Arabidopsis thaliana: one gene and its partners. The protein of the gene in region 2 interacts with the protein of the main gene of each other region in a pairwise test. Each region holds a gene or a part of one and is shown on either strand. Other genes may lie near its edges.

What was found.
Region 1: the proteins of AT1G79220 (region 2) and AT5G52660 interact in a two-hybrid assay, tested with the Arabidopsis thaliana proteins (one large-scale study listed by BioGRID).
Region 3: the proteins of AT1G79220 (region 2) and MYB112 interact in a two-hybrid assay, tested with the Arabidopsis thaliana proteins (one large-scale study listed by BioGRID).

The regions. Positions count from the first base shown.
Region 1 is NC_003076.8:21,355,599-21,367,507, forward strand, and holds AT5G52660 (Homeodomain-like superfamily protein), read right to left. Parts: upstream 6,676-11,909; 5' UTR 6,440-6,675; coding exon 6,174-6,439; intron 5,392-6,173; coding exon 5,334-5,391; intron 5,007-5,333; coding exon 4,883-5,006; intron 4,790-4,882; coding exon 4,622-4,789; intron 4,511-4,621; coding exon 4,403-4,510; intron 4,312-4,402; coding exon 4,202-4,311; intron 4,082-4,201; coding exon 4,022-4,081; intron 3,927-4,021; coding exon 3,825-3,926; 3' UTR 3,403-3,824; downstream 1-3,402. Other genes in the region: AT5G52650 (RNA binding Plectin/S10 domain-containing protein), read right to left, coding at 183-257, 535-667, 762-1,041, 1,240-1,288, 1,403-1,405; AT5G52655 (uncharacterized protein), read left to right, coding at 2,208-2,210, 2,294-2,375, 2,464-2,627; AT5G52670 (Copper transport protein family), read left to right, coding at 8,130-8,135, 8,233-8,311, 8,410-8,636; AT5G52680 (Copper transport protein family), read left to right, coding at 10,101-10,106, 10,221-10,299, 10,399-10,592, 10,715-10,793, 10,907-11,265. UniProt on the Arabidopsis thaliana protein: Probable transcription factor.
Region 2 is NC_003070.9:29,793,672-29,803,790, forward strand, and holds AT1G79220 (Mitochondrial transcription termination factor family protein), read left to right. Parts: upstream 1-5,179; 5' UTR 5,180-5,555; coding exon 5,556-6,755; 3' UTR 6,756-6,900; downstream 6,901-10,119. Other genes in the region: AT1G79190 (ARM repeat superfamily protein), read left to right, coding at 1-445; SCI1 (splicing regulatory glutamine/lysine-rich-like protein), read left to right, coding at 733-805, 978-1,088, 1,504-1,562, 1,804-2,040; AT1G79210 (N-terminal nucleophile aminohydrolases (Ntn hydrolases) superfamily protein), read right to left, coding at 2,615-2,663, 2,748-2,813, 2,900-2,962, 3,039-3,124, 3,224-3,293, 3,523-3,590, 3,758-3,833, 4,031-4,077 and 3 more; MST1 (mercaptopyruvate sulfurtransferase 1), read left to right, coding at 7,153-7,254, 7,618-7,803, 7,883-7,942, 8,086-8,148, 8,445-8,569, 8,677-8,839, 8,959-9,018, 9,267-9,325 and 4 more.
Region 3 is NC_003070.9:17,703,140-17,714,274, reverse strand, and holds MYB112 (myb domain protein 112), read left to right. Parts: upstream 1-7,814; 5' UTR 7,815-7,897; coding exon 7,898-8,090; intron 8,091-8,928; coding exon 8,929-9,058; intron 9,059-9,597; coding exon 9,598-10,006; 3' UTR 10,007-10,143; downstream 10,144-11,135. Other genes in the region: AT1G48010 (Plant invertase/pectin methylesterase inhibitor superfamily protein), read left to right, coding at 1,615-1,758, 2,392-2,784.

The DNA of each region.
Region 1 (11,909 bases), on a different chromosome or scaffold from region 2:
TCGCATGCTCGAAAAGGGGAGAGAAGATGGAATGAACATAACTTTAAATCGGATGTTTGATTCAACAACAAAACTAAACTCAGATAGAGATTATGAAGGATTCCGGAATCTGAATTACAAAAGCAAAATTTAAAGCTGAAAACTCCTCCATGGTCTTACTGTCACCTAAAGACATTTCTTTTTCAAGGCAAACCTGAACCAGATGGTGCAGCTGCGCTGTAGCCACCAGCACCACGGCCAAAACCACGGCCACTTCCCTGATAAACAAGAAAGGATGTTAGAACAATGGCAACCAAACAAAGAGAAGGCGGGTAAATCAAATCACAAGGCAATTATATAACTATAGACTTTGAAACACTTCACAGCTAAAGTAAAAGATTTATGTTCCTTGTAACTAAAGTGATAAAGAGAGACTAAATATGTTCATGGTTTCTCAGGTTCAGGAGCTCTATGATAAAGACTTCAAGAGTAGCACATTATATGACGTTGGTGAGATAGAGAAGTAAATAGAAGGTATGGTCAGTGAGAATTTACTTGGAAAGATGGCTGGTAATCTGCGGGAGCTCCACCCTTTTCACCTCCAAACTCACCACCAGCTCGAGGACCTGCACGGTACCCATCACGGTCACCAAACCTGGGACGGTCTCCTCCTTCATGGCGAGGTCCTCTGAAATACAAAGAAACCCAAACCATGTCAAACAAATTAAAAAAAAAAAAAGTTTTTGCCAGACATGAAATGGGTTAAGCAAAGAGTTAATCACCTTGAGCGATCACCAGGTGGGCCACCAAATGGACGACCACCAGGCTTAGCTGACTTCTTCAAAGTAGCAGGAACAACATCAGATGGAAGATTAAGATAAGTTCTCAAGAACTCGATCCCTTCATTGGTCAAAAACCAATAGTAATGCATCCAGGCAAATGTCTCCCTAACATACTCCTTGGATTTGAAACTCTGCATAAGCTTAATCACTTGTAGGTTGGGGACATCGATCAACGGATGCTTAGCAAGATTGAAATCCTTCTTCGCAAAGCAAACTCCTTCTGCAAAAATCATAGAACATATGATAATCAACACAATGTTCACCTTCTAAGCCAAACATCATAATTGCTACCATAACTAGTTAACCTAAACTAGTTCAAAAATCACAATGTTCATCGGCATAAGCCTAAAAATGAATCAATTTACTCACAGAAGCTGAAGAAAACAGAGATCTAAGAACAAATTTAAGAAGAACGAACCTTTGAAGAGGTACTTGCAGATTTCTTTGCGGTTAGCCTCTGAGATAATCTGAGAGCAAGAAGGAAGAAGAAAATGGTCAAAATTCAACGAAACAACATTCTGAGACACCGGAGAATATGATGAGAATAGAGAAATAGATCAAAAGCAGAGCTTGTGTGTTACCATTGTATCGGTAGGAGATCTTGCTCGAGCAGAGAGTCGCACGGAACTTCGAGAGAGCAAAAAACTAGGGTTTTCGCAGGACTAGAGAAGACGATGACTTTATATGCTTTGTTTTGGGCCTATAATGAGTTCATTAAATATGGGCCTTAAGTTTGGGCAGTATCGGAGACTGAGAAACTCAAAATGATCTTGTCGAATTGAATTAAGAATTGGGGGTTTATCAAATTATTTGATGATAACTATATTTAATATTTTATTAACCAATACTTACACTCGTTGTATTTATATTTACGATGGTTTATCCTCTCTTTTTTGAAAAGTTTATATCTTGTAAATTTTGTGACATACGTTTAAATATTATTTACTATAACTTTGATTTTTTTTTTTTTTTTACTATAACTTTGATTACTTTATATATTTTTATCAGATTAGTTAATTCTATAAATTAACATATATTTTTATTAATTACATATATTATCTTGTTAAAATAATTTCCAGTTTAATTAATTTATTTGCTCCATATTGTAACAAAAAAATCTTTGAGAGATAAATGTATTTTTGTGTTGTTTCAACAAAAAAAAAAAGAAGATAAATCTATTTTTGTGTCAAAAATTTGTTATGAGAAATTGTGACATATGTCGAAAGAGATTGTGAAATTGAGAGATAAATGTACTTTTATAGATTATTTAACAAAAAAAATCAATTTTCAGTAATATATATAGAGGTTGATGAGCAAGCGAGTTTGTAATCACATTCTTGTCCATCATCTTCTCTTCTCCTTCCAAACTTTTGAGTTTTTCAAAAAATGGTTAGTTATTTTTCTTAGTAAACCTATTTATGTGGTTATATAATAAATTCACTAAAGCTTTAGTTTTATTTCATTGTTTGTAGTCGATGACGATTGTATTCAAGCATCCAGGATATCCCGAAAAAAAATGGCGAAAAGGATTCAAAATTGCAGGTGGTTTTCCAGGTACAAACCTACACACACCCAACAATTATATTCAACAAACGAATTTTGAACAATGTGAATGATTGTCATCTTTTTATTATTATATTAGGAGTTGATGTCATAAGTTGTGGTATCATGGACGACGTATTTGCAGTGAAGGGAGAAAATATTGATCAAGATAAGTTACTGGAGAAAATAAAAAAGGTTTTAAAATCTGTCGAAATCATTGATCACACCAAATACCCTCCGGATTATTTTTTCTATGATTTCTAATAATGATGTTTATTTTTCTTTGGGCAAATAATGATGTTCATTTATGTTTTCATATTCTATCAAAGTAATTGGATTTGGTGTAAGTCTTAAGATATATTAGTCCATTCTTATAAGTTGTAAGTTATAAACTTTTTGTTCAAGAAGATTGATTTTCCTTGGATGCATAGTCGAGAGTATGCCACTAAAAATAGCTTAACCATATTGGTCTACACTGTCACCTTATTTCTTCCTCTATAAACGAATTAAAACGAAAGCATACAACGCTATTATGAGATTTGATTTGGTCTCCCATCAAAGAGACAGATACATACTTTAACAAAAGCTCAAAACAAATTTGAGAGAGGGAATGGTATATGATTACAATTCTTGTTTAAAATATGATTAATAACTTCTTCTAGAAAATGTTTTATATGCAAACCAGTCAAACCATCATTTGATTTACATCTATTTAGAAATGTATTTATCTATTTCATCACTAAGAATGTGTTTTATCACCACCTCCAAAATGTGTTTACAAACAAATGAAGCCAACTACAAATTATTGATCTTGAAATCTGTCGAAATCATTGATCACACTGAATACCCTGCAAATTATTTTTTTTATGATCTCTAATAATGATGTTTATTTTTATTTTTTACTTTTATTTTTCTGAGGCAAGTAATGATGTTTATTTATGTTTTCATATTCTATAAAAAAAATAATTGGATTTGGTGTAAGTCTTAAGATATGATCAAATTAAAATATATATTAGTCCATTCTTTATAAGTTATAACCTTTTGATCAAGAAGATTTGATATTCCTTGGATGCATCTTTTCTTATAGTCGAGAGTATGCCACTAAAAATAGTTTATCCATATTGTTATACAAATGGTCACAGTCACCTTATTTCTTCCTCTATAAACGAATGAAAACGAAAGCAAAGACAACTCTATTAAGAGATTTTGGTCTCCCATCAAAGAGACTGATACATATGTTTAAACTTGAGATCTAACTTATGATAATACACTGTACATATACCATCCTTAACCCAACAGACTATTTATAACAGTAACAACAACTAAACCGAGTAACATCAGCTTCATCTTCTTCCTATGTACAAACAAAAAACCACAACAGAATCTCTGTATTTTGTAGCCATCTGGTTGTTGGCTGGCTCACCTGAGACACTTTTCACAGTTCTCCTCTTCTATTAAACATTAAGTAGAGATTTCAGGTGGGTCTTTGTTTAAGGTTTTATTCACTCCACCATGATCAGTTGCTGTCTCAGATCCGATATCATAAGACGAAAGAAGCCGTCTCTATTGTTTTTGAAATCAATAAGAGTCTTGAGGTTAGTTCTGGTATAGGGTTTCGAGTTAAAATTGACTAGTAGTTTGTGGAGTAAAATACTTACATGATCCTCAAAGTCAGGACTAGACAAGTTGATGGATAGATTTCTCATCAATAGTAACACCTGTTTGGTGGGGGCAAACAAAGGAAAAAAATGATTAGTTTAACCATTTGTTCCATTGGACCGACGTGGTTTCAATTAAGATTGATGTAAAAGTGAAAACTGAAAAGACAAGAAACGTACTGTTTCAACATCTATGGGGTCCATCTTCTTCAGCTTTTGTAGATGATTACTTGCATATGGGTCAAACACACTTCCAATGAAGCCGTATACTTGGGCAAAGTCCGGTAAAACTGAAAAAAAAAAAGGCGGAACTGTCTAGTAAGAAATGGTAAATATGGTACAAACAAAAAGATTAACAGGAGACGATGTAACGATGCTTACCTCTTAATGAATGGCCAACATTTCCATGGTCTCTTGCGTCCCTGTTGGATCGTGGTCTTGGAGTATTTTCAGAACTACTAGAACAATTGTTATTAGCTCCTGCTCCTGCTGTTTCCATCAACGTGGAACAACAATATGCTTCATTTAGTAAAATTTGAAACAGAGATTATATTAAGAGAGTAACAGTAATTGCATAATGCTTGTAAATGAGAATAGAACCTTTTGGGAGGGGAGTGAAGCTAATTGTTTGCGCATTATTTGTCCATGGAGCCGCAGCAGCAGTGGTTGGCGAAGTCATCAGCATTGAAGAAGACTCAGGCCTAAACATAAAACTTGGGTCATTTGGTTCAGATGTTGACTTGAATGACCCTGGTACTTGCAGTTGCACTGCACATTGCCATAAACAGTGCATCAATATAGTTTTCAGTAAGCAAACAACAATACAACTTCAAAGTTTTTAAAGCAGTAGCTATAACGTACCATTCTTGTGAGCCTTCTGAGGATATGGATGAGCGGCTTTCCTTTTAGGTCGAGGAGGAGGGAGATGTTCACCGGTCCCACTCTTTTGTACCTTAAGAAAATACTTCTGAGCATGACTTCGTATCTGCAGTATTAAAGGAGTCCGTATAAGAAGCCATAAAAGAGCTCAACGAGCTCACTTGTCTAATGCAAAAATAACTACATATAACACTTCATTAAGTGGTGATAAGCGACAAACGCATGTGACATTCTTTCTCCTAGTAGTAGTAGTTCAAAACAGTTACAGACAATAAAGATGTTTTAACAGAACACTTTGTGGAGATATCAAATGAGAGAAAACAACCTCAATCCAAAGTAACACTGAGGGCCCAAGAGAAAGATGACAGAATCAAACAACTAGAGTAGGCGAAAAACAGAGTAACTCAGAAGATATATCTACTTTTTACTGTACCTGAATCACTGTCTTTGAACCAATAAAAGCTTCAATCTTCTTCCAGTCTCTATCAAACCTAAAATAATCAAAACACAAACATAAGAGATATCAGATCCACCACCAAACAACCTGGATATAGCATGTGTCTAATCCTTGCCTAAGATTGTACGCATCACAATACACAGAAGAATAAGCAATGAACAGTACAATCATCATCGCCTCCCCTAGAACCTACCCCAAGGACTTTCCCACTACATACCAACCTTAGTACTACAATTACTCACTTACCAGTGTTTATAGACACTATTGTAACCAAAAAAAAAAAAAACGCAGCTCTAATAGTTTTCACTAAATCCTCTTTTTACTAAGATACATATAGTTTGCGTCGCTATTTCCTCATAATCTCAGCTCAATTTCTTGCCTGTTTCGTTCTTCACTATCAATGATCATACAGGTCTTAGAAGAACATTTAGCTCATCCAATTTCAATAGCTACTACACAAATTCAATACAGTCTATACTCATTTTTCGACATCCTGATCTTCTCAATTCTTATCAGACGCCTAATTCAACAAAATGTGCATACATAGCCAAATCCATCTGCCTAAATCCAACTCTCGATTCCAATTCTATGTCCCAAATCCAATCTAATTCCACTGGTTCAACACAGTACAATTCAGAAACCTACTGAAACATAAAGTTGCACATTATCCTAATCGAAACTCCACGCATATTCACATGATTCTATAAAGTCCACCACAAACCCTAATCAACCAAAATTGATGCTAATTCTTCCCAAATCAAATCTCCAAATAGCCATTAACGAGAAATGGTAAAGCACAAAATGAACAAAACTCACAATTGAAGAGCTTCAAGGAATTTATCATGCTCAGGCTCCGTCCAGCTCTCTCTAGACTTAGTAATAGTATAAGGCTTCCTAATCTTCTTACTCAAATCCTCCTCCGAAGAAGAAACCATCGCCGTCACATCCGCCACAGCCACGGCCGTAGAAGAAGTCGTTGGTGAAGAAGAAGAAGAAACGGCGGCTGTAAAGGAAGGTCCGAGACCAGGAACAGTCATACCGGTCGGATCCAAGAAATATCCGTCAGAATTTCTAGAGACCATGAATAGAATTTGAGGAGATTTTTGTTGAATCTTTTGCTTTTTTGCTCTGTTGGGTTTAAAAAGCTGTGTTGTGTAGGAGAGAAAGAGAGAAGAAATGTGGCTTATGAGAAAGAAGAAGACGGCAGAGATTTTATTAAAATATTAATAAATTTATAAGCTATAGTTTTTTTGTGTATATGTTGTGTTTCTCGATGAAAGAAACTTATTCTTGTGATCGTTTTTGAGGTCGGCAAAATAGTTCTTGTGACCTAATATAACGTGCCACGTATTTGGATCTTTATAATAAAGATTTTTCCATTTATGTTTTGTATCCGTTTATACCAAAAAAGGGTCTTTTCTTTTTGGTTGAATTTAGGATTGTTTTGTAGTTTAGGTAAAGGTTTTCTAATTGTCCAAATTTTATGTTTTGTGGAGCCTTTTTAGCTAATGGGCAACTTGCCCGTCAAAAAAAAAAAAACTAATGGGCAAATGGGTTATATATTTAGCCCATTATGAAACATCGATATGTCAAAAAAAAACTTGGTGATGCCACTGTTTTTGTCTTAATGTTTAGCCCAATCAACAAGACAACAATGCTTTTTTTCTTGGCATCCTTCGATTAGAACGATTGATTTGTGAATGAGAATTTAAATGGATGGTTTACATTGGTTTATAAATTTCTTTAACAAATGAACATATTTTAACCTCGCAAATAAAGGAAGAAATGCAAAAATGTGGCATGTTAAAGAAAGAGATCAACCTTCACTATATCTTTTAGGTTTCTAATTGGTTTCGATGTGAGAACATCTTTGTTGGATTGTTGGTAATGCCACGTTCTTAATATTGTTTATACTAATGTTTTGGCGTTGGAGTCTGTTACGTAACTGAATTAATGACATTGGCTAAAGCGCAGTACCAAAAGTTATAGTATAGATTTGTATAACTATACTGAAAATTTCCTAAATTATGGCGTTTACTAATACTGTAACGCTTCGTATGAGCCCAAGTAAATGACGATAATGTCGTGTGGTTTGGGAGTTGTGTGGTTCCTCATGCTTTCACACATTTTTATTAAGGAATGTATAATTTTATTAAAAATCTGAAGCTGAAATTTACGTATCAACAACATCTCTATTTATTAATACAAAGAACATTTGTAAACATGATAGCAGCCGTAGATAATATGATTTAAATGATTAAATTAGGGGATACAAACTTATTGTGAAAAAGAAAAAAAGGCGATACAAACTTATCCCAATTTTATTCATATTTTCATTAAACGAAACGAAATAGAAAACTTATATTGTTATTATTATATAGGGTTGATTTAATCGCTCTTATTATCTTATATCGACGAGATGATAAAAGACAAAAGATCTTACATATGCATAATTATGAGTTATGACACGGTATTAGTTGAAGCTACTAAAGTACTAAACAAAAGAGGCGCAACAACACATTCTAACAATCTATTATATAGAAAGACTCAAACCTGTTTTATTAATCATCTTCATTTAAGCGTATCAAATTGACTATTTCAGTTTCTTGCTTGGATGGCTTGACTTAACCATTTCATATTCGCTAATTCAAGCAAAGGATATCGTGTATATATATGGGGCGAAACAAAGGTTAATGAGCAAGCTACGAGGTTGATTTCATATTCCTTTACATCATATCTCCTCAATCATCAAACTTTCTATACTTTCCGAAAATGCCGGTATGTCTTTTCTTTTAGTTACTTAAAATCTTAGAAAACTAAAGGTACTACTTATACACAATGAACTGTCTAAAGCTTCAAATCTAAATCTTTGCAGGAGAAAGTTGTATTCAAGTTGGAAGTTTTTGAGGAAAGAATCAAACGAAGAGCTATGAAAGTTGTATGTGACTTTCCAGGTATATTATAATATGTACAAACAATGTCTATATATAATATAAGTAATTGAATCTATTTAGGCTTAATACAAATTAAGCAATAATGTTTGTTGTTGTAGGAGTTACTTTGATAGACGTGAAGGAAAAAGGTAAACTAAAGGTGAATGGAGAATTTGATAAGTTTGAAATGACGAAGAAACTTAAGAAGGTGTATGAATTTGTTGACATTATCGCGGTTGGGCCGGATGGAGAACCGGCACAAAATCAGAAGCTGGTTAAAAAGCCTGAACCTAAAGTGAAGAAAGCACCATCTTACCGTGGTTGGAATTTGGGTTTCTTTAAGTGATCAATTTGAAGACGTGATCGGTTTATTTTCCATGGACTACTGTATTCTGATGATATTTCATCTCATTTTTTCTGAAAAAATTGTTTGCCCGTTATTTGTAATAATTATGTGGCTCTTATATTCATATTGGCGTTATATGTCTTTTGTTAACATTATTAAGTTCTGATCATCCAATTGAAAACAACAAAAACAAAATTTTCATCTAAATTGTCTAAGTTAAGTAATAGAGTCTCATTGTTGTGTCCAAAAAAAAAGAAGAAGTAAAAGAGTCTCATTGATCGCTTTTCATAAGCAACACTTAATTCTTATCACCAGCAACTAGATGCTCAAACTAATGCTGGCCGAAGTGTCAGAAAAGATAGTCAACGTTTGATAGATTATTGTTATCATTCAACTTCGTTCCACACTTATTCCAAGTAATTCGTTTATATTATATCGTCAATAATCGTGTTATTATATCACAAGTGTTTCTTTATAATAGGTATTTATGTTTTTTGGCACATGCAATAAAATTCATTAAGCCCTGTAATTCTGTCGGTTTTCTTAAATAATAAAAATAAAGTTTAGAAGATTAGTTAAAGCTATATACTAACCTTTCTGTTACATTTGGATCATCATAACTTATATACTTTTTCATCATATTCATCAGCGTTAATTGTTAGTAAATTCATGGAAATCCATAGAGAATGATTGTGAGTTTGTGATTCACCAAAGATCTCCATCAATTAGTACTTCAAAAAAACTCGTCTTAAATAGATTTAAAACCATTGCATTGACGAATATCTGAATAATAAAAACGATGAAATTGTACATGTATTGGGAAATAGTTTGTTAATCAATACATGGGGTATCAAGAAATTCATAAAGATTTAGGAACAATATTTATGAAATTTCTTTGATTTCCTTTTGCACCTCCCATAAATGTTTTCCTTTATACAATATGTTTTATGCATAGGATATTGTATTTCCTAGCTTCGAAGAAATTGTAAGGCTCTTTCGTATATTCTTTACGTCTTGAGTGTACTAGTTGTTCTAAATTATACTACAGAATTAACGAAAAACAAAATATCGTATATTTGACTATAACACGGTATTAGTTGAAGCCACTAAAGTAAGAGACCATGCCAACTTCCATTCTATTATTTAGAAAAACCTTTTTTTGATAATATTCATTTAGAAAGACTTAACTTGAAAAAAAAAAAAAAAAAAAAAAAAAAAGACTTAACTTGTTTCACTTTCTACCTTTCTTATTATACAAAGAGACTCAAAACTGTTTGTATTGGTCTTGATGTATAAAATTGACTATAGTTCTTATGGTTGGACCTAATTAATCATTACTATATTGAGCACTAGTTACAAACAAAACATTGTATAAATAAACGGGGAAGCAAAGGGTTACTAGTGTGCAATCTGTGTGGTTACAATCATATAACTTCACTGTCCAATCTTTTAAACATTCCAAATATGCAGGTTCGTTTTTTTTTTTTTTTCAGTTTCTAAGATTAGTTTTAACTTTTAAGCAACTAAAATTCAATGGTTCTAAAATAGTTTTTGATTATTATACAATGAACTGTTAATATGCAGGTGGAGACAGTTGAATTCAAGATGGATGTTTCTGATGAAAACATCAAACGGGAAGTTATGAAAATTGTCTGGATGCCAGGTACACCAACACAAATCTATGGTTGTAGTATTAATGAAACCAAATAAATCAATAAGTAATCTATCTAAGCTTGAAAGCAATAATATTTGTTGTTGTTAGGAGTTACTTTCGTAGACATCAAGGAAAAAGGTATATTAAAGGTGAAGGGAAAATATGATAAGATTCAAATGGGGAGCAAACTTCATGAGCTAGATAACTCTGTTGACATTATCAACCAAATGGGAAAAACGGGGCAATATCGCATTCCGAGTTTAACTTCAGTCTACAGTTATTTTACCACTCCAAATATACAGGTTCGTTTAATCGTTTAGAACAAATTTTTCAGATTCCCTTATTTTTGAGCAATTAAATTTCAAATGGTTCATAGTATATTTTAATAAAATTATTACTTGTATCATGACCTGCTATTTTGCAGGAGGTAGTTGTATTCAAGTTTAAAGTTCTTGATGAAAAAATGAAACTTGATGCTATGGAAGTTATTTGGGAGTTTTCAGGTACACCAAAACAAACCTATAGTATTATTAATTATGGCTGGTTATTCTGTTATACATAATTTTTCATCTATTTAGTCTTTAAAACAAAGCACTATTGTTTTTTTGGTTGTTAGGAATTACTTCAGTAGAGGTGAAGAGAGATAATCAACTAGAGGTGAAGGGAGGAGAATTTAATAAAATCGCAATGTCGACGAAGCTAAAGGAAATAGATGAATCTGTTAGCGTTATCATCAAGTCTGGACCAGATGGACAAGTTGATGTGACAAATATTAAGATCAACAATGCGAGAAAAACTTCACGTGTCCCTGCTCCTGTACCTGTTCGTGCGCCTGCCCCTACGCCTAAACCTGCCCCTGCGCCTCCTTCTGTTCCTGCGTCTGTGGCTGCTTATGCGAACATGCGTCTTTATGTGCATAAAACACCAATTTGGAAAAAGTGCTTTCGAGCAATTTCCTGTGGACTTTATCGTTGAAATCGGTCACTGGAATGACTGGATAAAGGAGTCAATTAATTTGTTGTAATGAACATTATAAGATATCCTATTTACAATTGAAAATCGAAGTTAAATTGAATGAGATATGAATGTACAAAATGGCTAGATTGAAAAACTTTTAAAACTTAGTAAATTTAATTTGAATAGTTCTGAAATTTGTCAAAAGTCACACATTAGAATAATGAATATTTGTCAATTATCAAAACGTTTAAGGAATACATAATTTCCCTTTGGCTAGTTTGTAAAACGTCTTTTCACAAACAATCTCCGTGATCTAAAAAATAGCGTTTAAGAATACCTTTTTCCGATTTCTATGAACGTGTATTAGTGAGTTCTGGAGCATGGAGATCACTCTCTACATCGTGAAGCATCAGACAAAAGGAAGAACATGATATTTGGGACTCTGATGAGTAAACACGGATTTGTCATCTATCAACTTTGAGTCTAACCAGCTGATCCTTAAGAATAATGGTGTTTTTATTATAAAATGTATTTCGTTAAATGAGGATTGATCTATCGCTTCCATTGTTGCAATGAATAATAAAAAGCAAGTTGATTAATATGTGGTCGAATTCTCTAATATTTGGCATGAACCGTTCGAATATGTGAATTATAAGTATATA
Region 2 (10,119 bases):
TTCCAGCTTGAAAGTGCAGGCAGCAGTTCTCGATATGATCGCCGAGATTTCCAGAGGTAAACGCAGTGCTTCAGCGTTAGATGCAGTCTTGAAAAAAGTTGCAGGATTGGTCGTGGGGATTGCGTACAGCAGTGTAACTGGCCTAAGAGAAGCGGCTTTGAATGCGTTGAGAGGACTTGCTTGCATTGATCCTGATCTCATTTGGATTCTCTTAGCTGATGTGTACTATTCTCTCAAGAAGAAAGATTTGCCTCTCCCACCGTCTCCGGAGTTTCCAGATATCTCTAATGTTTTGCCTTCTCGGCCGCCAGAAGATTCTCGTACAAAGTTTCTCTATGTAGAATACGGTGGTCGGAGCTATGGTTTTGAGTTGGAGTTTAGCTCCGTTGAGATAGTCTTTAAGAAAATGCAGTCTCTTGTCTTTGTAGACCAAATGCGTTGTTAATACTTTGCTTGTAGTAAATACTTTTCTGAAAACAGCAGTAAAAAAAAACTTGGTAATATAGTTCAAGTGTAACATTGAGCAAAAAGCTAGTAAAAAGGGATTATAATTGTATTGGGGTAAATAAAAACATTGGGGGCGAGATGCAAAATATAAAAGAGTAAGGGGTTTAAGTGTAATTTCGACATCGAGACCCGACCCGACCCGGGATTATGAATCCTGATCGCCGCGGGGTCCAAATAAATATATGTCAGCTCCTCCGTTCTTTTATTTTAGTCCGTCGGGAAATAATGGTAAGCGAACGGAGCTCCAAGGAGAAGAAGAGAAGCAGAGCTCGGAGCGAAGATTCTTCATCTTCCGATTGTATGTTCTTCTTCTTCTTCTCCTCTATGTATATACTTTTTCTTCCGATTCCCGAGAAATGCCATCAATTTATCTATCTGTGTTTTCGATTAGATTTTGTAGTTGGCGTTGAGAGTGTGACTTATTGTTGTGAATGACATAATCTGATACATAGTGATTTATGAATTGACAGACGAAGAGAAAGTTAAGAGGCATCGAGGAACAGAGAAAGATGATGAAAGGAGAAGTAGGAGAAGTGATAAGAAGGATAAGAAATCTCACAAGCACCACAAATCCAGTACATGTAAGATACTGTTTCTCATGTTTTGAGTTAGTAAATATTGTTCCATCCGTTTTAGAACCTTGATTATATGTTGAGTCAAGTTAAGTTTGTCGTATGATAAATTTGATGTGTTTGCTTCTTCATCTAGAGAGTGGTGTGTTTATAGTTATACCCATGTGAGCTGGAGTTTTCTTGTTCTTGTATGCCATTAACGGAGCATCAATTTAGCTTTGTCTTACCTATATTCTCCTAGAGAAGGAAGAGGTTGTAGTCGGAACCTGTTGGTTTGAGGGATTATAGGCAGCAAGAAATATCTTGTTTTGGTTACAGCTAAAGCAGCTATGTTTATCTTTCATCAGCATGACTTATATCATGTGTCTTTGCTTTTCAGTATGATCTGTTTTTCTTGCTGCTGACATTTTTTTTTCTCTTACAGCAAAGAAGTCCAAGGATGATAAGCCGAAAAAGAAACATACGGAAAGCGACCACAAGCTAGTGAGCTCTAACTTACCCTTTGAAATAGTTACCCATAAAAACATCTATTTGTATATTCACTTAAAAAGTCAAAAGTATATTGCTTTGGAGACTTTGTATGTGTGGTTCTTCGCTGGTCTCTTCAGTTGTTTAGTCATGGTTTAATTACAAAAGTCTTGTTGCCCTATTGTAATGTTTGACGGATTGTCATCCACACTGAGGTTCTGATTAAAATGCTTTTCTTTTCCGTTTTTTCTTCCAGAAAGAGGGAATTCCAGAGCTATCAATGGAAGACTACTTCTCGAAAAACAACGAGTTTGCTACATGGCTGAAAGAAGAAAAACGTACTTACTTTAATGATCTCACGACCGAAGCTGCACGAGGACTGTTCTCACGATTTGTCAAGAGATGGAACAGAGGAAAACTCGAGTCTCGATACTACGAGGGAATCTCCACTGCCCCACGAACAGCTCACGACTGGATGATCAAGCGTAGGTGAAAAAAAGCAAAAGCAATACCTTCCTCTTCTGTGGTTCGCCGGTTACCTCTCTTCTTGCTTCTTGTACACGTGAAGGTTGATTGCATCAGAGATATATTTCTATGTAGTTTCTCTACTTAGAACTTCTTGTTGCTGAACTAGTTAGATAGATTGTCGTGGAGAGATATGTAGTCGGTTTTCAGAGTAAGACAAACTTTACATATCCAAGGTCTTAACCAAAGTTGCCGAAGAACTATCTGATGAATCCTTATGTAACATTGAGAATTTGATATCCGGTTAAGGGAGAAATAGACCGTTTTGATTGAAAGTTGGTCTTGTACAGTATGTAAGTTCCTACTGGCATTTACAACACAGCGTATATGTAGCTTTGGCTAAGTAATTTGTGTGCATGAAACTTGGTTATATGAAACTGAATTTTCACAACAGACGTTTAAATGAGTGAAAAAACATATTCTAAATTATTGGGTCACGAGTCTCCTTAACAAATTCCAAAAGTTTTACAAAAGCAAGAACCATCAACTCTGAGAGTATACTGAGATTCAAATCAGGTTGGTTGCACGGTTAAGTGAAAGTTTTACTCGACTTCAGCCAAGTAATCATCGATTTCTGCTGGTGTTAGCACCCTGCATATAACATTCACTTTTCAGATATTGATGGGAATAACAAGATTTTTTGTTTATATTAGTTTTGTAGTCTTGAATGTTTACCTGAAAACTTTGTCAGTACCGATTTTGCCAATCTCGATGTTTTTGCTTGAGATTTCTCCCTCGAAACTGTGAAAAGACACGGAGGTTATAGGCTTTTGAGAAATTCTGAACTCTGGAAATAAAGTAAATTAAGTTTTGGTAAAAATGCTCACCCTTCCTTCAATGTCAATATTGCCGTGTGAATGGCATCATCAAGTTCCATATCTTCTGTGTACCTGATCAAAGACTAAGATGAAATGACATGCTTCCAAGATCATAAACTCATCACCACAAATGGTAAATTATTATCACCTCTTCTCAAGAAACGTCTTTGCATTCGAAACATTCTTTCCCATTGCAGAAGCTTTCCATGAGAAATAAGAGCCAGATGGATCCACCTAGTGGCCAATGAAAATTATGAAATAAGATGTTTTCAGTTTACGGGTTTTACTTCACTTTGAGCAGGATGGTTATATTTTCTTTAAAGTTCTACTTACTTGATACAGTTGTGGACCCTTGTCATCATACCCAGCCACCAGTAGAGAAACTCCAAACGGCCTAACACCACTATTAACAGCAGAAGGAGACAGAGATTAGAAGCAAGATTCAGTAGTCTAGTTTGCAAATACAGATTTGCATTAACAACATTATCTCACGCCAAATCAATATCAAAACTGAGCTAAAAAGTGCATAGAGAGACTCGCTCTAGAGTTGCAATCTCTGAGCCAATAACACTTTTGAACCCTGTTGAGCATATGAGAGGAAGTAATTACATAACACTCGATATAGTACTTACCCCGATTGAGTGAACTCTTGCATCACCGTGGCAGTTTCCCTTACAAGTTGAGTAACGGGGATGGGTTCCTGCAACAATAAACGCCCTTAGAAGTTGAATCAACAGAGCGATCTGGATTTATGAATAAGCAAGAACTTATATCAACTGGAATCATCAATCCAAAGTTTTTATCATACATGTACTACTAGACACTCCAGGAAAAGAAGACAAAAAAACAGAAGATATTAAAGATTACCTTGTACAGACGGAGATATTGCTCAGCCTGCTTCCTACTCTTTCGCACAAGAACTCGGAAATCAGGACCCATACCACTACATAAAAGGCAATACCAAAGTTAGCACTGAAATCATTAGGGTACTAAGGGAAAGGTTCCATCAGTAGCACTAGCACCTGATGAGAGAGACTAAGTACCCAAAACAAAATAAAAAATGTATGATAAATCCAATTTGCAAGCTATAAAACCAAATTCGCTATTAAAAAAGAAGTATGGATAGCTGAAGAGAAGAACCTGTAAACAGTTCCAATGTTGGGAGTCAAATGTTGAATCTTTTGAACCTGAAACAGACAATAGATAAACATTAGTTTCGTAGGAGTTACTGAAACTATGCAACCGAAAGGAAAGTAACACGAGCAGGCACAGAATGAAAAAGAACTAATTGCTATAAAGAGTTGATCAAACTTACAGACGCTTCATCAACCAATATAGAAGGAAGTTTCTTTTCAGTTGCAATGACAACTCCATTTGAAGCTGCATAAAGAAAACAACAGTCATGATTACCAAAGACAATGTTCCTTAAAAATCTCCTCTCGAATTTGATTAGATCATTGAAAAAACCTTTAATTCCAAGTGATGTTTGGCCTGATCCAACAGCTGTTAGGGCATGTTCTATCTGAACCAGCTTCCCTGATGGGCTGTTTCATAAACCACAACATGAATCAAACCCCGAAGAAACCGTTCCAAATGCTCAGAAAGAGATAACATTGATATGATAAACAAAGTTAATACCTGAAGGTGGTGAGAGAAAACGAGTACTGACTGTCCCCCATTGAAAACCAACTAAATCAAGCTGCAAAAAATGCGAAATAGTGTCATCTCTGGAAATTTAGAAACGTGGAAGCTAAATCTGTTCTTCATCAACAATGTTCAAACTTAAATGAAAAGAAACCACGTCTGAGCAAGTAAGTAGACTGAAGCGTTCAAATCTGACAAAGCTTAAAAACCCGGAAGAGTCTCATCGCCATGGGCAATGTGTAAGGAAAACGATGAAAAAGACAAGATATACCAACCCTAATTAAGAATTGTGAGTGAATCAAATCAAACACAAACTCAAACTCAAAGATCAGCTCTTAGCTCAAACTCAGAGACGAAAATTGAAAACTTTTCTTAAACCCCAAATTCAATATATTTAAAGTTATCAATTTAAATTCAACAAAAGAAACCCATTCAATCAAAGCAACATACCTTTGATATATGGATCGAACGGAATGGTCGCAAGAGAAGAGAGAGAGAAGAGACCCAAGTGAAGAATTTTTAAGCTCTCAAGGTTTCTTGCACAAAGGGTGAGAGTCTGACGCCAGAAAACGAGAGAAACAAAAAAACCAAAACGGCGGCGTTTTAACAACTTCACAGTTACTGTATCTTACATAATAGTCCAATATTTTATATCTCTTTTCAGTTTGAACCACATTATTTATTTACTACCCCTAGTCCCCTACTCTCTCTCGCTTCCACGCCCGACTCGGACTCAAACCTGGTCCGAATTGGCTGTGTCTCTCTCCATCGCCTCCTTCTTCTCTGACAAACTCTCCTCCGTTGGTCGGAGTTTGTTTCTTCGCTCGTTCATCACAAGCTTCGTGTACTGGTAATTGTTCCATTTTTTCTAGCTATTTCGGAAAATTGGATGGAAGAAGCATCTGAAATACGCGTGTAAATGTCGCTGATTGTGTCGTTGAGGCAGAGCCATTGTTGATTCTTAGAGAAAATTTGCTCCTTTATTTCTCCAGTTTGTTAAACTCTCGATTACGCCCTTGAAATGCATTCGACCGGGAAGAGAAATTTCTTAGCTGTTATCAGATTATTGTTTACTAGTTCGAGCTTGGTCAGAAAGGCTGGTTGTAGAAATCTCATTTCTGCTACCTTTACCACCAGGTGTTCGACGTTATGCCTGAATGAATCTGAAGAATGCATTGAGGATTCTGATCTATCGTCTAGGAGAAAAAAATTTGATTATGTTGGAGAAGTTGGTGAAAAAGAGAAAGTGAGAGATATTACTAGTAGTCCTTTACAAGTTTTACGAAGATGGGGTTGTGATGATGATGAAATATCCAAGCTTTTTACTCGTAGGCCTGCTTTGCAGAGAGCCAATGTTGCTCAGTTAGAGTTTAAGTTAAGCCTTCTTAAGCCACTGGGAATCACGTCTTCAGACCTTGTGAAGATTCTTAACTGTCGTCCTAGGTTCTTTAGTTGCCGTCTTGTCCTTGATGAAAGGATCAACTACTTCATGGAGATTTTGGGGTCAAAAGAGGTGTTGCGCAGAGTCATTATCCGGAATCCGTCACTCATGTTGTATGACCTCGATGACAAGATCAAACCCGCGATAGAATACTACAAAGGGTTGGGCTTTAGCCAACAGGATCTTGTCGCAATGTTGATATCGCGACCCACGTTGATTCCAAGAACAAACTTTAACAATGAGAAGTTTGAATACATTGAGAAAACTGGAGTCACCAGAGAATCCAAGATGTTTAAATATGTTGCAGTCATCATCGGGGTCTCGAGGATGGAGACAATCGAAGAGAAAGTTAGAAACTTGGAAAAGTTTGGGTTCTCGGAAGAAGAGATTTGGCACCTGTATGGAAAATGCCCAATCCTTCTCTCTCTCTCTGTTGAGAAAGTTCAGAGAAACATGACTTTCGTCATAGCCTCGATGAAACTTCCAGCTCATTCCGTGGTTAAGCACCCTTGTTTGCTTCTCCTCAACCTCGAGTCTCGTCTAAAACCTCGTGCGGATCTCGTTAAGAGAGTCTTGGAAATGCGTCTAAAGCCATTGATAAAAGAAGTGAGCATTTTCAGAGCGGTAAGGATGAGCGAGAAACGGTTCTTGAAGGTTTATGTAATGTGTCATCCACAAGATATTGCAACCGAGCTGATGGAGTTTTACGAGAAATCCAAAAACATGAAACGTTTAGCTGAGAAATCCAAGAAATACATCCGTAAAGGATTCCCCTTTTGAATCTCTTTTTCATCTTTTGTTTCTTTGGATATGTTCATTAAAGATGTAACATTGTGTAGAATTTTCCAGCTTTATCAATGGATACTTTTGAATCGGTTCATGTTTTGGTTTAGATCAGATTAGTTAAACCGGAATAGAAAAATATCAAAACACAAAACGCGAAGAAGCACGTTTGGTGAAACGAAACGCCAAAGACGCCCTAGACGTGTCTCTCTTCCAGACCCGTTCGTGGCGGCAGTGACAAAATCCTCTTTATTGATAAAAACGTTTGCAAAGTTGCAACCTTTTTGGGTTTAGTACTTGAAGAGAATCAATCTGACAGCAAATAGTTTTGGCGTCTTTCTAACTCAACCCATCATCTCTGTTGCATTTTATCGAGAGAATATTTGAGGTGGATATGGCCTCGACCCTTTTCTCCAGAACTTTCTTGGCTGCTAGTCACCGACTGATTACTCCTTCTCTTCCGCAAAAGATCTTTAATCCAGCCACCTTTCTCAGTGTAAGTCGATATCTGATTCGCGATCTGTTCTCAATTAGCCATTCGTTTGACCACTCGTTAGCTTCTGGGTTTGAGAGTGTCTGGATTGATTTCGAGCGTTTGGATTGTTTCTATGATTTGACAGTGGTTCTACTGGGTTTTCGAGCTTTTGAAATGTTGAATAGACTATAGAGAATTGCTTAATTGTTGATGAGGTCTATGTCAATCGATGCTTTTCTTATCAAAGTTTGAAATTGGACTTATGAGTTTTGTAATCATAAATTAGGTAGTGAAGTTTTATGTGAATTGCTCAGTTTCGCCTCTCTGTATATGATTCTGACTTTTTGGTTGGTCTTCCTCTTCTTGTGTTGGTAATTGCTGAAGAGGTCACTCCACTCTCAGTTAGGCTCCGCTTCTACAGCCTATAAATCAACTACTTGGGCTCGTCGAGCTATGGCTTCTACTGGAGTTGAGACAAAAGCCGGTTACTCCACATCATCCGTATCAACCAGTGAACCTGTTGTTTCTGTTGATTGGCTTCATGCTAATCTTAGAGAGCCTGATTTGAAGGTGACTGCCCTTTCTCCTAGTTCACTTCTTGGAGAATATGTCTGCCAAACTTAAACTTACCTGTTTGTATGCTGTTCAGATTTTGGATGCTTCATGGTATATGCCGGATGAGCAGAGAAATCCGATCCAAGAATATCAGGTGAGAGTATGAACAGATAGAATTTTGAGAACTTCTTTGTTTTCACAATTGTTCAGGTTGTATTCATTCTGGATGAGCGAAACCACACTTAGTACACTATTTGATGATACTGTCGGACATAAACTGTGTCCTCTCCTATATAGGTTGCTCATATTCCCCGCGCTCTCTTCTTTGATTTGGATGGAATATCAGATCGAAAAACTAGTGTAAGTATCGCCATCTTTTCTTTTACAGAAGATGTACCCCTGCAGTTTACTTTGAAGTTTTCACTTCACATTGATATCGCTTTTATGCATAAATGAAACCTTATCGATAGATATTATCTTCTTTTGCTGCCATTTTTAAGATAGTATGTAGCTTTTTCTTATGTGAGATAAAGTAATAAGTCTGGACTCTTTAATGTTAGTATATGTTATTATGTGTTTTCATTAAGACATCTCTTTGCCCCGATCTTAAGGGAATCATCTAAAGTATTGTATGATATATTAACTACTTGTAACAGTTGCCACATATGTTGCCCACTGAGGAAGCTTTTGCTGCTGGTTGTTCTGCTCTTGGAATTGATAACAAAGATGAAGTGGTTGTCTATGATGGAAAGGGGATCTTTAGTGCAGCCCGTGTATGGTGGTGAGTTCTGGTTCTTGTTTGTTCTTTTAATCCTTTTACTTTGTCCTGAGTCTTTTTTCGAGTATTGTTATAATTGATATGTGCTTCTTTATTTTCCCCTTAAATAGGATGTTCCGAGTTTTTGGACATGAAAAAGTTTGGGTGCTCGATGGAGGTCTACCAAGATGGCGTGCATCAGGTTATGATGTTGAATCTAGTGCATCAGGTGATGCTATTCTGAAAGCCAGTGCCGCAAGTGAGGCTATAGAGAAAATTTATCAAGGACAAACCGTAAGTCACTAATTTGGATAATAGTTCTCTGGTTCGTATTTCTGTAGATTCATGATGAGTTTTGAGCAGTAAAGATGTGTTTTTTCTTCATATAAATTTTCTCTCTCGTGGTTGCACAGGTCAGTCCGATAACCTTTCAGACTAAGTTCCAGCCACATCTAGTGTGGACACTTGATCAGGTTGGCATTTCCTGAATGGTTTTGTCTTCACATTATTGTTAACTATCATTCTCTGCTTAAGAATCTTTAATTTGGTCTATATTTATACCCGTTTTTCAGAATTGTGATTGTGATATATCAATTTTACTATAGCTCAGTATGTTGGTAGATTGATGTCTGTAGATGCCTGATTTTGAGTTTGCGCTTGTGTTACAATAACTTGTTCAGACTCTTATTTTAGGTCATGACTCTCTTTGGTGAATTCACAGGTCAAGAACAATATGGAGGATCCGACTTATCAACACATAGACGCTCGTTCCAAAGCCAGGTACTATAAATGCCGAGTTATTACTTGTTTTGACTAATGGATTTTTCTCTAGGCTCCTTCACACTAATTTGATACTCAGTGTAGCATTTTGATTATTTTACGGGGTTTTTCACAGGTTTGATGGTACTGCTCCAGAACCCCGTAAGGGAATAAGAAGCGGTCATATACCTGGAAGCAAATGTATCCCTTTTCCTCAGGTAAAAGCCACCCTAAGAGAATTTGCTTCCTTCCCACACTTCCTCTGCATCTAGTCCCCAGAGTTAATGTGATAAATTCCTTCTTTCTGCAGATGTTTGATTCTTGTAACACATTGTTACCAGCAGAGGAGCTGAAGAAACGATTTGACCAAGAAGGTAAACTATTTCATCTCGAAGAATAAGTTTCACAATCTTATTTATATAAAACATTTGTAAGATCTCAAGGCTTTTTGGTGCAGATATCTCACTGGACAAGCCTATTATGGCCTCGTGTGGGACTGGTGTAACAGCTTGCATCTTGGCAATGGTAACTCCATTTATTTTATTTGAGATTATATATAAACGGAGAGAGACTGACTTAGTGACTTGCTCTGTTAGGGGCTTCACCGGCTGGGGAAAACCGACGTGCCGATCTATGATGGGTCGTGGACTGAATGGGCGACACAACCAGACTTGCCCATAGAGAGTGTTGAATCTTCTTCATGAAAGTCTCCACCGTAAAGGCTAGCGACAAGATTACAAGCCACAGACGGAAATAATTATCATGTTTAAGTTGAGGGATTTGTTTGAAGTTAATCATAATCCTGGCTTTAAATT
Region 3 (11,135 bases), about 12 Mb from region 2:
CAATTCACCCAAAACACATTCACCACACCTACATATCATCACTCAAAACAAATCACACAACCCAATCGCTCAGATAAACTCATGGTCACGCACTCACCTTAACAAATTGATTCTAATAGCAATTAAACCCAGGAGAGACTCTCCTGGCGTCTGAAACAGTTCAGAAACGTCCTACACCAAGTCCACAACCAAAAGCAACCTTGAAGCAAACTGGACAGGAAAAACCAGAAACAAGCAGTCTCAAAGACAAAACCCTAAAATACAAACTAACCGTTAACTATTCAATCGTTACGGTGAAATCCTAGCCGCAGACGTCACAAAGTTGCCCACAAAATCTCGTGCCGATCGGAAAACAGACGAGACCACGATCTCAGTTTCAATCTCCGCTGATCCTAATTCGCGTCTGAGAAAATGTGTCTCACGAAACTGCGAATAACTCAACCAATTTTAATCCAAATCCAATTCTGTAAACTGGAGAATAACGATAAAGGACTTGGGAATAACTATACCAACTTTTGTTACCTTTTACCACGATTTGATATGACGAAACTGATTTCTCCCAAACCCTAACGATTCTGCTCCTTCTCCTTTTCTCTTTTTTTCTTCTTTATAAAACGAAAAGTGGCTAACTAAAGCCCTAATTTCGAGTTTCCTTATTTTATAGGCACACTCTAGGGTTTCCAATTAACCCAACCAATTAAACCGGATGATTTAAAAACAAATCCTAACCGATTTTCCGGTTCACGGGCGTTACATATTCTTAAATATTTTATCCAAACTCGTAAGTTTTGCAAAATACCCTATTTCTTGTACCCAGATAAAGAAAATGGCTCTCAATTTCTTTCTCTATTTTAATTTATAATTAAAATTAAAAATCTTGCCATTTGATAAAATAGACGTGCGGAAGAAGTCGAAACTGCAAACAAAATGGTTATGATGAGATGTCGTGACAATGATGGTTTGTGTGGTGGTCAGAAGCAAGTACAAAAAGATACTTACAAGATTGCGAGTCTCGACTTATGAACGGCATGATATTGAGCATGATGGTCGATTGATGGCCTCTAAAAGTTTCAATCGCCTCATTTGGACAACTTGACCGAACATCGACAGTTCATGGTATATGAAATCCATTATGTTCTTTGAGATTTTAGTCGCGAATTTCTTGAGAATTTGCCAATCACAAACATGTAAATTTCAAATTTATTTTATTCGAAAATAAATTTGAAATATTTTGTTTTGCTTTGTAACAGTAACATCTAAAAATTTAGTTTGGGTTATTTCTTTTGAGGAAAAATATAAATTTTAGTTGATTTGACCAATGTCTAGAATTGGAGTCGTTAAGTTCACTATACGTTATATCGGTGGCAGAGATGTTTTGATCAATGTAAATATCTAAAATTTCTTGAGAATTTGCCAATAACAAACATGTAAATTTCAAATTTATTTTAGATTTGAAAATAAATTCGAAATATTTTGTTTTGCTTTGTAACAGTAACATCTAAAATTTTAGTTTGGGTTATGTCTTTTGAGAAAAAAAATTATATTTTTAATTGATTTGATCAATATCTAAAATTGGAGTCATTAAGTTCACTATACATTATCTTGGTGGTAGAGATGTTTGGAATTGAAGGCGAAAGAGGTGGTATTGATAGAATTGAAAATGACAGCGTTGATAGAATTGATGGAGATGGTGCTAAAAAAGCGAGCACGGTAGTGAGAAGCGAGCATAAGACGACAATGATGATGGAGTTTTCAGCAGTAAGGGAAAGCAAGGGTAAAAACATCATTTGTCCCTCTCCGGAAATGCCAAATTTTGTAAAGACGGAAAGAAATACTCTTTTCAAAGATTGAGTCCAAAGTATGAGTAAAAGCTTTATTTGTACTTTCCAAGAATGCCCAATTTTATAAGGTGTGAAGATTAAAAAAGAGCTCACAAAAGGCCCAAACCAACAATAATCCCATTACTTTGCATATAACTTATTTTTTATAAAAATATATGCAGACTTTAAATGACATCTTTAATTTTTAAAATTAACTACCATATAGATTAGCCAAAAATAGAACAATATAAAAAAAATATTTGACATAATCTTATTAATTTGCATCATCTTATATTGAGAAGAAAAAATTCTATAAATCTACTAATTGAACCTATATAACTCTATCTCTCACACAAGAATTCCATCATTTGGGATTCTCTTCTTGAAACTAAAGATATATAAAATGGTTAGATACCCAAAAGACAACCTTTCTTTTTCTCTTCTAAAAGTGTTTGTTCTTCTTGTTTTATTTACAGTTATACAATTAAGCCTCGCAGTTACACAAAGTGAAGTCCATACTATTTGCTCATCTCCAACATCAAATCCTTTATTTTGCTACAAGTTTTTCAAGTTAGATCCTAAAATTGGAAAACTTGATCTTCCTGGCGTTGCCAAATGTTTGATTCATTATGCTCAACAAAATGCCTTAGATACACATAATCAGTTACAATTACTTGCTAATAGCACGACTGATAACCGTACCAAAGAATCTTACATCTCATGCTCAAAGTATTACGACAAGGCTCTTTACTCTTTTGATGAGGCCCTAAAAGATTTAAAGGTCAATAATCCTGATTATTTAAATATTGAGATTACAGCTGCTCGGCAAAATGCAAATGATTGCAAAACTTTGGATCTGAAAGATGTCTTCAAACCTGATCCAAAACTCATTATGAAGATAGATTTTCTTGAGAATGTATGTGGAATTCTTTTATCCATTTCTGATATATTACCAAAGTATTAGTAGAGATTGGAAACCAATAATATATTACCAACTACAGACCTAAAATATGTTTTATCGTTCTGTCGTGATATAATAATCTAAAATTAAATTAAATAGTGCATACTAAAATGATTGCTGAATTTTGATGTTAATTGGATATTTGATTAGCGGTTTGTTTTGCAGCTTGCATTACATGAACACAATGTTATTGACTCTCTATATATAGCATAATGACATTGACGTAACCACCATATCGTTAAAAAAAAAACGGTTTCATTTGGGTTGCTGCATAATTCCCCCTATACTAGTTGCATTTTTAGCTTTCATCCACGTATTTGTTGGGTCTAAAAGCCATCAAAAAACCTTATAACTACGTCTCCAATAAAACAACATGATTTTTCCAAGATATATATTAGGCATTTTTTCCAAAACAAACCGCACCAAATCTTACGGGTTGAAACTGGTCGTTAAGGTCTCATGAGGAACTATATTGGTATTTGATGTGTTTAAATTCTCTCAACTTTAAACTTTTTTAGTCTCCTCCGTTCATAGCTTGGTTCTCTGTGTTCTATCTTTCGATTGTAGCAACAGTCTTATCGAGAGCGATCGATTCTTATTTGAGTTTGATGTTCTCATCACTTCCACCATCGTCACCCATATACAAACTCCACCTACCATGCTTCTTCATCGCCACATCATTCCAACACCTGCAAATTTAAAAAACTTTGGGTTTGGGTAGGAGTGTCAAAATGGGTAACCCAACTCAACTCAACTCATAATCAAATGAGTTTAGGGTTAAATGAGTTATGGGTTGACCCAACTCATTTTGTTAAATGGGTTGGATCAACCCATAACTCATTTAATTTAATGGGTGAAATTGTTAAATGGGTTAACCCAATTAAATAATAATTTAATTAATTATTATTATAAAACAATAATAAATAATTATCATTATTAATAATTATTAATTCATTATTATCAAACTTAAAATATTTACAGATTCTACCGTTTACGGATTTACGTTTTTGGCGGGAAAATTACGGATTACATTGTTGGCGGGAAAATCACGGGTTTACGTTTTTGGCGAAAAAATTACAAGTTTACGTTTTTGGTGGAAAAATCACGGGTTTACGTTTTTGGCGGGAAAATCACGGGTTTTCGTTTTTGGCGGGAAAATCACGGGTTTTCGTTTTTGGCGGGAAAATAACGGGTTTACGTTTTTGGCGGGAAAATCACGGATTTTCGTTTTTGGCGGGAAAATCACGGGTTTTCGTTTTTGGCGGCAAAATCACGGGTTTTCGTTTTTGGCGGGAAAATTACATGTTTTTCGTTTTTGGCAGGAAAATCACGGGTTTACGTTTTTGGCGGGAAAATCACGGGTATTCGTTTTTGGCGGGAAAATTACATGTTTTTCGTTTTTGGCGGGAAAATCACGGGCTTACGTTTTTGGCGGGAAAATCACGGGTTTTTGTTTTTGGTGGGAAAATCATGGGGTTTCGTTTTTGGCGTGAAAATCACGGGTTTACGTTTTTTTCAGAAAAATCACGGATTTACGTTTTTGGCGGGAAAATCACGGGTTTATGTTTGTTGGTGGAAAAATTACGAGTTTACTTTTTCTCAATTCATCGCTTGTATATTTAAGAAATTTGGAAAAATATTAATTTTATTAGATTGGTTTAGATGTGTTGGTTAAACTTAAATTAGCATTGGTTTAGAGATTTTAGTTGGTTTAATTCAATTTTACAAATTTTGATGGGTTAATTAGGTAAATCATTGAAACCATTAACCATTACAATCCAACTCATTTACTCATCAAACCAATTGACCCGATAACTCATTTGACCCATCAACTCATTTGAGTCAAAAATTTTCAACTCATTAAGGTTCATGGGTTGAGTTGAGTTGAGTTGACCCATGAATTTTGACCCATTTTGACACTCCTAGATTTGGGTGTTAAAAATTTATTTATTACATTACAAAACTGGATATCTATTTAAATATATATATATAAAGTGCTAATTAAAAGATATATATTAAATGATCCGACATTATTGCTCTAGATTAAATAGAAACAAAATAAAATGCTTTGACATTGTAATGCAGTTGATGTTTCTTTTTTTTTGGCAACATAATTATGTTGTTATTGATTTAACGACCATGGAAAAATAATCACCTTATTGTCAAAAAAGAAATTACCTTACTATAGTACATAATTAAACAAGTTTGACCAAAAATCAATATGTTGATATTTACTTTCAAGTGTAGATATGGTTAAATGTGGTCCATATAAATCTCACAACAATTCTCATGTAACAAGAAACATAATCTTCATATTAAAATCATAAAATAAATTTGGTTGTTATGTAAAAACAATTATTTATTGGTTCTGTTAGTAATGCTTTTACTATAAAATTTCAGAAAGTAAGGTTAGTAATAATTCTTCATTCTGTTTTATGTTCTTTAAGTCGACTCCTAAAACTAAAAAACTTAATCTTCTTGGTGTAACAAAGTTTTTGATCAACTATGCGTCACGAAATTTCTTAAACATAAGCATGCAATTCAAATCACTCGTTAAAAGCACGACTGATCCTCATTCATAAAAAATTATACCGAATATTCAGAACTTTCTATTATTGCACTTACCAATTTTGATGCCGCCCTCAAAGCTTTGGCAACAAAGGACAATGTCACCTTAAATGTTAAGAGTCTCAGCAGCGATAACCGATGAAGACACATGTAAAGACGATTTGTCAAGTGTTATATCTAGTCCACAATTTTAAAAGAAGATTTCTAATATGAAAATCTGTCGGCCATAGTTTTGGTTATTTCTAAAATATTACCTAAACATAATAAAATATTATAAATCGATATATTGTTTTATGGATTAAAGAAAAAAAAAACAAATTTCCTTTTCATTATTTTGTCAAAACTGTATAACATGGCAAAAGGTATGGCAAAGAAAACTATCAAAAACGATAAAACCATGGCAAATACTCCACTAATAACATATCAATCATAGGTAATGCAATTTTGTTTTCTCTTTTTTTTTTAACTACGTATAATGGTGTTAAAACTTTTTTTGTTTTTTTTTTTTGGAAAACTTTTGACCTAGTGTAAAGTTTGGCAAAAATGGTTTGATCTAAAACTAGTTTCATCGAGATTTTACATTTTGTAGAACTCTGATTCGGCTTTAATGAGTTTATGGTTAGAGACATGGGTTAGGTTAAGCTTTACTCGATTTAGAGTTTTGAGGTTCGCTGCATCTTGCTTTCATGCTATCAAAGCATTTTTATATTGTTACATTCTCTTGAGTCTTTTTTTTGTTTTGTAATCCTTTTCTATTTCTAATTAAAAAAACTAAAATTTATAGCTAAAACCATTAAAAAAAAGTAACCAAGAGTTCCGAAACTAAAGAAAACCCAAAAAAGTTAGTAACTTCAAAAAATTTAACTAGTTTCTTTCATCAATCTGTATTTATATATGTTCTAACTTTTTTTATCAAAACCAAACCGAATCTAAACCGTAAGTCAAAATAAATTAAACCAAAATTGCATCAAATTGAAATCATGACTAAAAATTACTCCTTTTGTCCCTTTTTATTGATTTTCTAGAAACAATCACAGATTAAGTAAACATATTGATTTAATTTTTGTGATTTAATTTTTTAATAATTCTAAACTAATGATATTCAATTATTTGTCTTGAAGTTTAAAATTCATCAATAATAACTAATAAATAGTGCATAGAAACCTAAAAAATCAATCTTTTTGAAACAATTTTGTTTCTCTAAAAATCAATTAATAAAGAATAGGGGGAGTATTATTTTTGAAGTATACTTTAAAAAACACCTTTATTTTGATAAATATTAACAGAGAATGTCATTACTTATATTCATGTATTCAAATAACTTTACTATTAATTTTTATTATCCGTATAACCAAATCAATTGATTGTTTTTAACATTAACTATAAAATTTGAAATATACATATAATGTTCCAAAATTAGTAATACATATTAAAAGATTGTGTTAAGAATTAAAATAATGATTCGCAATCATCTTTGTTTGATTTTGTTTTCTATTTGTTTTGAATCATCATATAAAGTTAATAATAAACTATTTTCTACCTATATTCTGATTCAAAATTTTAGAATTAGACATATATATTACTTAAATAATAAAAAAGTGTGTTCAACGTCTCAATTTCACATGGGCTAAAATGTTTAGAAAATGATTAAGAGTCATGTTATAAATAAATCTAAATCTAAATAAACAAGAAGTTTAACTTAACAAGTATCTAAATTTAAAAGTTTGTATATGGTTTAATTCTGTTTTTAATTGAACTGTTTAATTTTACTGGATATAGTAAATTTTAAGCTTTGAAAGTTTTGAAATATTATAATTGATATATTTAAACTCAGTATAAAGTTTAAAATAAAATGAATATATATAAAAGTCTAAAATAACGCAGTACATGTTATATTTTGAGACTGGGTATATGAAAAATGAGTTTAAATCGACATTAAAAAAATTAAAAGTATCATTAACCGACATTATAATACGGTGAAATTCTCATTTTATTATTTGATTAACATCACTAATATTAAATATGTAGAATTACACTAATTTAGTTAAGATTATGTGAAAACAAAATTGTCCCGTGTTATATTGAGGGTTAAATTCTAGTTTGGTTTAATAAAAGGAAACCTGAATCAAAACTAAACAAAATTATATACTACAGAAAAAAGGGTTTGTTGCATCAACTAAATTATATCGATAAATAAATGATGTTAATTTAAATTACTTCTTCGGTTACTTTTACTTACTTGATAGCTTATCCAACTCTTAACTATAGCATGTGCTTAAGGAGAAACTAAGAACTCTTATACTATTACTTAGAAATTATTATTTTGCGAAAATTCCACTAATATCTTCGGGTAATAATTTATCTATTAACATGCCGATTTCAAATGCTTGGTATTTATTTATAATATATACAAAACAAAACAAAAAAAAATCTATAAAACCCACCCTGAAAACTCGATCACTTTATGTCCATTCCGAGAACTCTCTCCCTCATTAATTAAAATCTTTCTCAGAGCAATCTTCTCACAAGTTTCTAAGAATCTCAAAGCATGAATATAAGTAGAACAGAATTCGCAAACTGTAAAACCCTTATAAATCATAAAGAAGAAGTCGAAGAAGTCGAGAAAAAGATGGAAATAGAAATAAGGAGAGGTCCATGGACTGTGGAAGAAGACATGAAGCTCGTCAGTTACATTTCTCTTCACGGTGAAGGAAGATGGAACTCCCTCTCTCGTTCTGCTGGTAACTTCTTAAGCCTTTTGCATATATATATACAGAATATGTGATCATGCATGATATATAATATGTAATGCGTAAATCGATCGATTCAGATCAATTGAAGTCATCATAACAAATCCTTATATGCCCATATCATATCTCTAGAGTGATTGTTAAACTATCATTGATTTGAATGGTTAAAGTTTGGTATTGAAGGATTCTTTATATGTCAAACAAGTAGTCCGTTTTTGTTTTTTAAACATTTAGACTGAAACTTTTTTTTTTCTTATTAGAAATTCGTTTTGGATTTTGTGGATTTTAATATGATCATGTGAAGTTTAGTTTAGAGTTTATTTATAACTAACTGAAATTAAATGGAGTAGATATAAAAACTCGTCCACATCTTATCAATATGTTATTCAATTTCTATCACATCATATGTGAGTGATATACATATATGAATGTGATTTTTCGTAACTATGAGAATACTTTTCTTATGGCTGTGACTTCTCCATGTCGGCATAATTTAAATTCCTCTGTAGAATTGGTAAAGTAAGAAAGAACAAGTTGACATATTCATAGTTCATTATTATCATTAAAAGTGTACTTTCGTATGAAACAGTTTGGTCGGTCCAAATTTATTTATTTTTTCCTTTGGAGTTCTTTTCATATTAGCCTTTTGAGTGTGGAACTCAAACACCTTTCCCAACCATCCAATTCCATACAGCCTCATGGAATTGTTATCTTTATTGATTTGGGAAATTGTACTAGTGTCCATATACTATTGACTAGTGTACATTCCAGTTAATTCATGTTTTTATACTAATTGTATTTATATTGAAATCATTTACTATTGAGACAGGACTGAATAGAACGGGGAAAAGTTGCAGATTGCGGTGGCTAAATTATCTCCGGCCGGATATCCGCCGTGGAGACATATCCCTTCAAGAACAATTTATCATCCTTGAACTCCATTCTCGTTGGGGAAATCGGTATGAAACCTTTATTTATATCGACATAGACATAGTCATATTGTCGATACATTACTTAAAATAGAAAAAGGGACACATATCGTTGAAGAGAGCAAATTTGGAACGTCTCTATGAAATAAATAACTCGTTATTCAATATTGTATTAGTAGATAATTGACAAAATCAATTTGATGCGTATTTGAAATTTCTTGGTTGAATTGTGGTTACTATATGAAACTTGTATCATAGTTGAAATTAAGGTACACATCAACGTCTTTTTTTATCAGAGTAACACTAAAAAAACTGATTAATCTAGTACTACAATAGAACTTATAAATAATTAAACCCTCCGATTCATTATAAATAATATTTTTAGCAAGAGTCGGTTTTAACAAAAACAATTAATATACGTACAAAAAGTATATTAGAAATTTAATATATTTTTTGTATGTATAAATGATTCTAATAAAAAACGGAATGAGAGTTTAATTACGATGTTCTATAAAATTAATCGTGTTTTTAATAATGGAGTTAGTTTTGATATTTTTTCTATTGTGAAGGTGGTCAAAGATTGCTCAACATTTACCGGGAAGAACAGATAACGAGATAAAGAATTATTGGAGAACACGTGTTCAAAAGCATGCAAAACTTCTAAAATGTGACGTGAACAGCAAGCAATTCAAAGACACCATCAAACATCTCTGGATGCCTCGTCTCATCGAGAGAATCGCCGCCACTCAAAGTGTCCAATTTACCTCTAACCACTACTCGCCTGAGAACTCCAGCGTCGCCACCGCCACGTCATCAACGTCGTCGTCTGAGGCTGTGAGATCGAGTTTCTACGGTGGTGATCAGGTGGAATTTGGAACGTTGGATCATATGACAAATGGTGGTTATTGGTTCAACGGCGGAGATACGTTTGAAACTTTGTGTAGTTTTGACGAGCTCAACAAGTGGCTCATACAGTAGGCATTTCATGGGTTTATTAATGAATGTAATGTATAATAAACATAAACTAATCATTCAAAACAAAATTAAAGGTTTTCCGGGTTTTTTTCCATTTTTTTATTGGTTTAATTTTATTGTGATGTATGATTTTACAAAACAAAAAAAAAACTGCTTAATTAATAATATCAAAAACATATATATTGTTACACAGAAGCATGATTTAGATAAGACTATAAGAGCAAAGAAGAGAAAAACAACAACATGAGTTTAGCAAAAAGTTTATGTGGTTCCTGGTTCATTTAATAACTCCCATACGATCACTTATAATCTACCATATATGATCATCAATTAAGTTTTATAATATCACCGCATTATTAAAAACATTATGAGTATTTGATAACATATCCCAAAGAAATTCATTACATACTTATTTAACTAATGGGTTGAAATAGAGATTGATGCATGATGTGTATATGAAGTGAACATCAAATAATTATTTTACTCTAAATAAATTATTAATTTGGATTTGGCCCTCTCATCTAAACTCAGAGTTGAAGTGTTCATGAAATCTTGCATGCTCGAGACAATGAGACATATTGCTTAGAGCACTTAAAGATGGTATCAACTCTTAAAAATATGCAAGTAAAATTTCGTCGTCTCAAATATCATTTTTTAAAAATAAAAAAAAAACTTTAGTTACATACATGTTGAATTCTCTAAATCGGTTATGTAGTTTGTGGTGCTATTATTGTTTTGGAAATTTCTAGTTTGTAGGGCCTATATTTTCTTGTTTGGCTAACCAATAATATCGTTAGTTTCATTTAAAATCACATATTAATTTAGTTTGTATAATCATTAATAGTTTAACTAAAAGAAAAGGACGTGAATGATGTCTCCAATTCCTAATCATGATTAAGATACTATTAGTTACTCCAACTCATGTAACACTTTATCGAGATTATATACGTCCAGAGGGGACGAACCCAAATAAGTTACTCTAGTTAAACTTTTAAATAAATTATTTCTCAGTGTTTTTTTCCACTACGTCGAGTAAGGAGGATCACAGATTCACCCGAACCCTATTTTATAATCAAAGTATTAATTGTTTTATTTGTTAGAATATATTAAATTAATCATCGAACACGTCTAT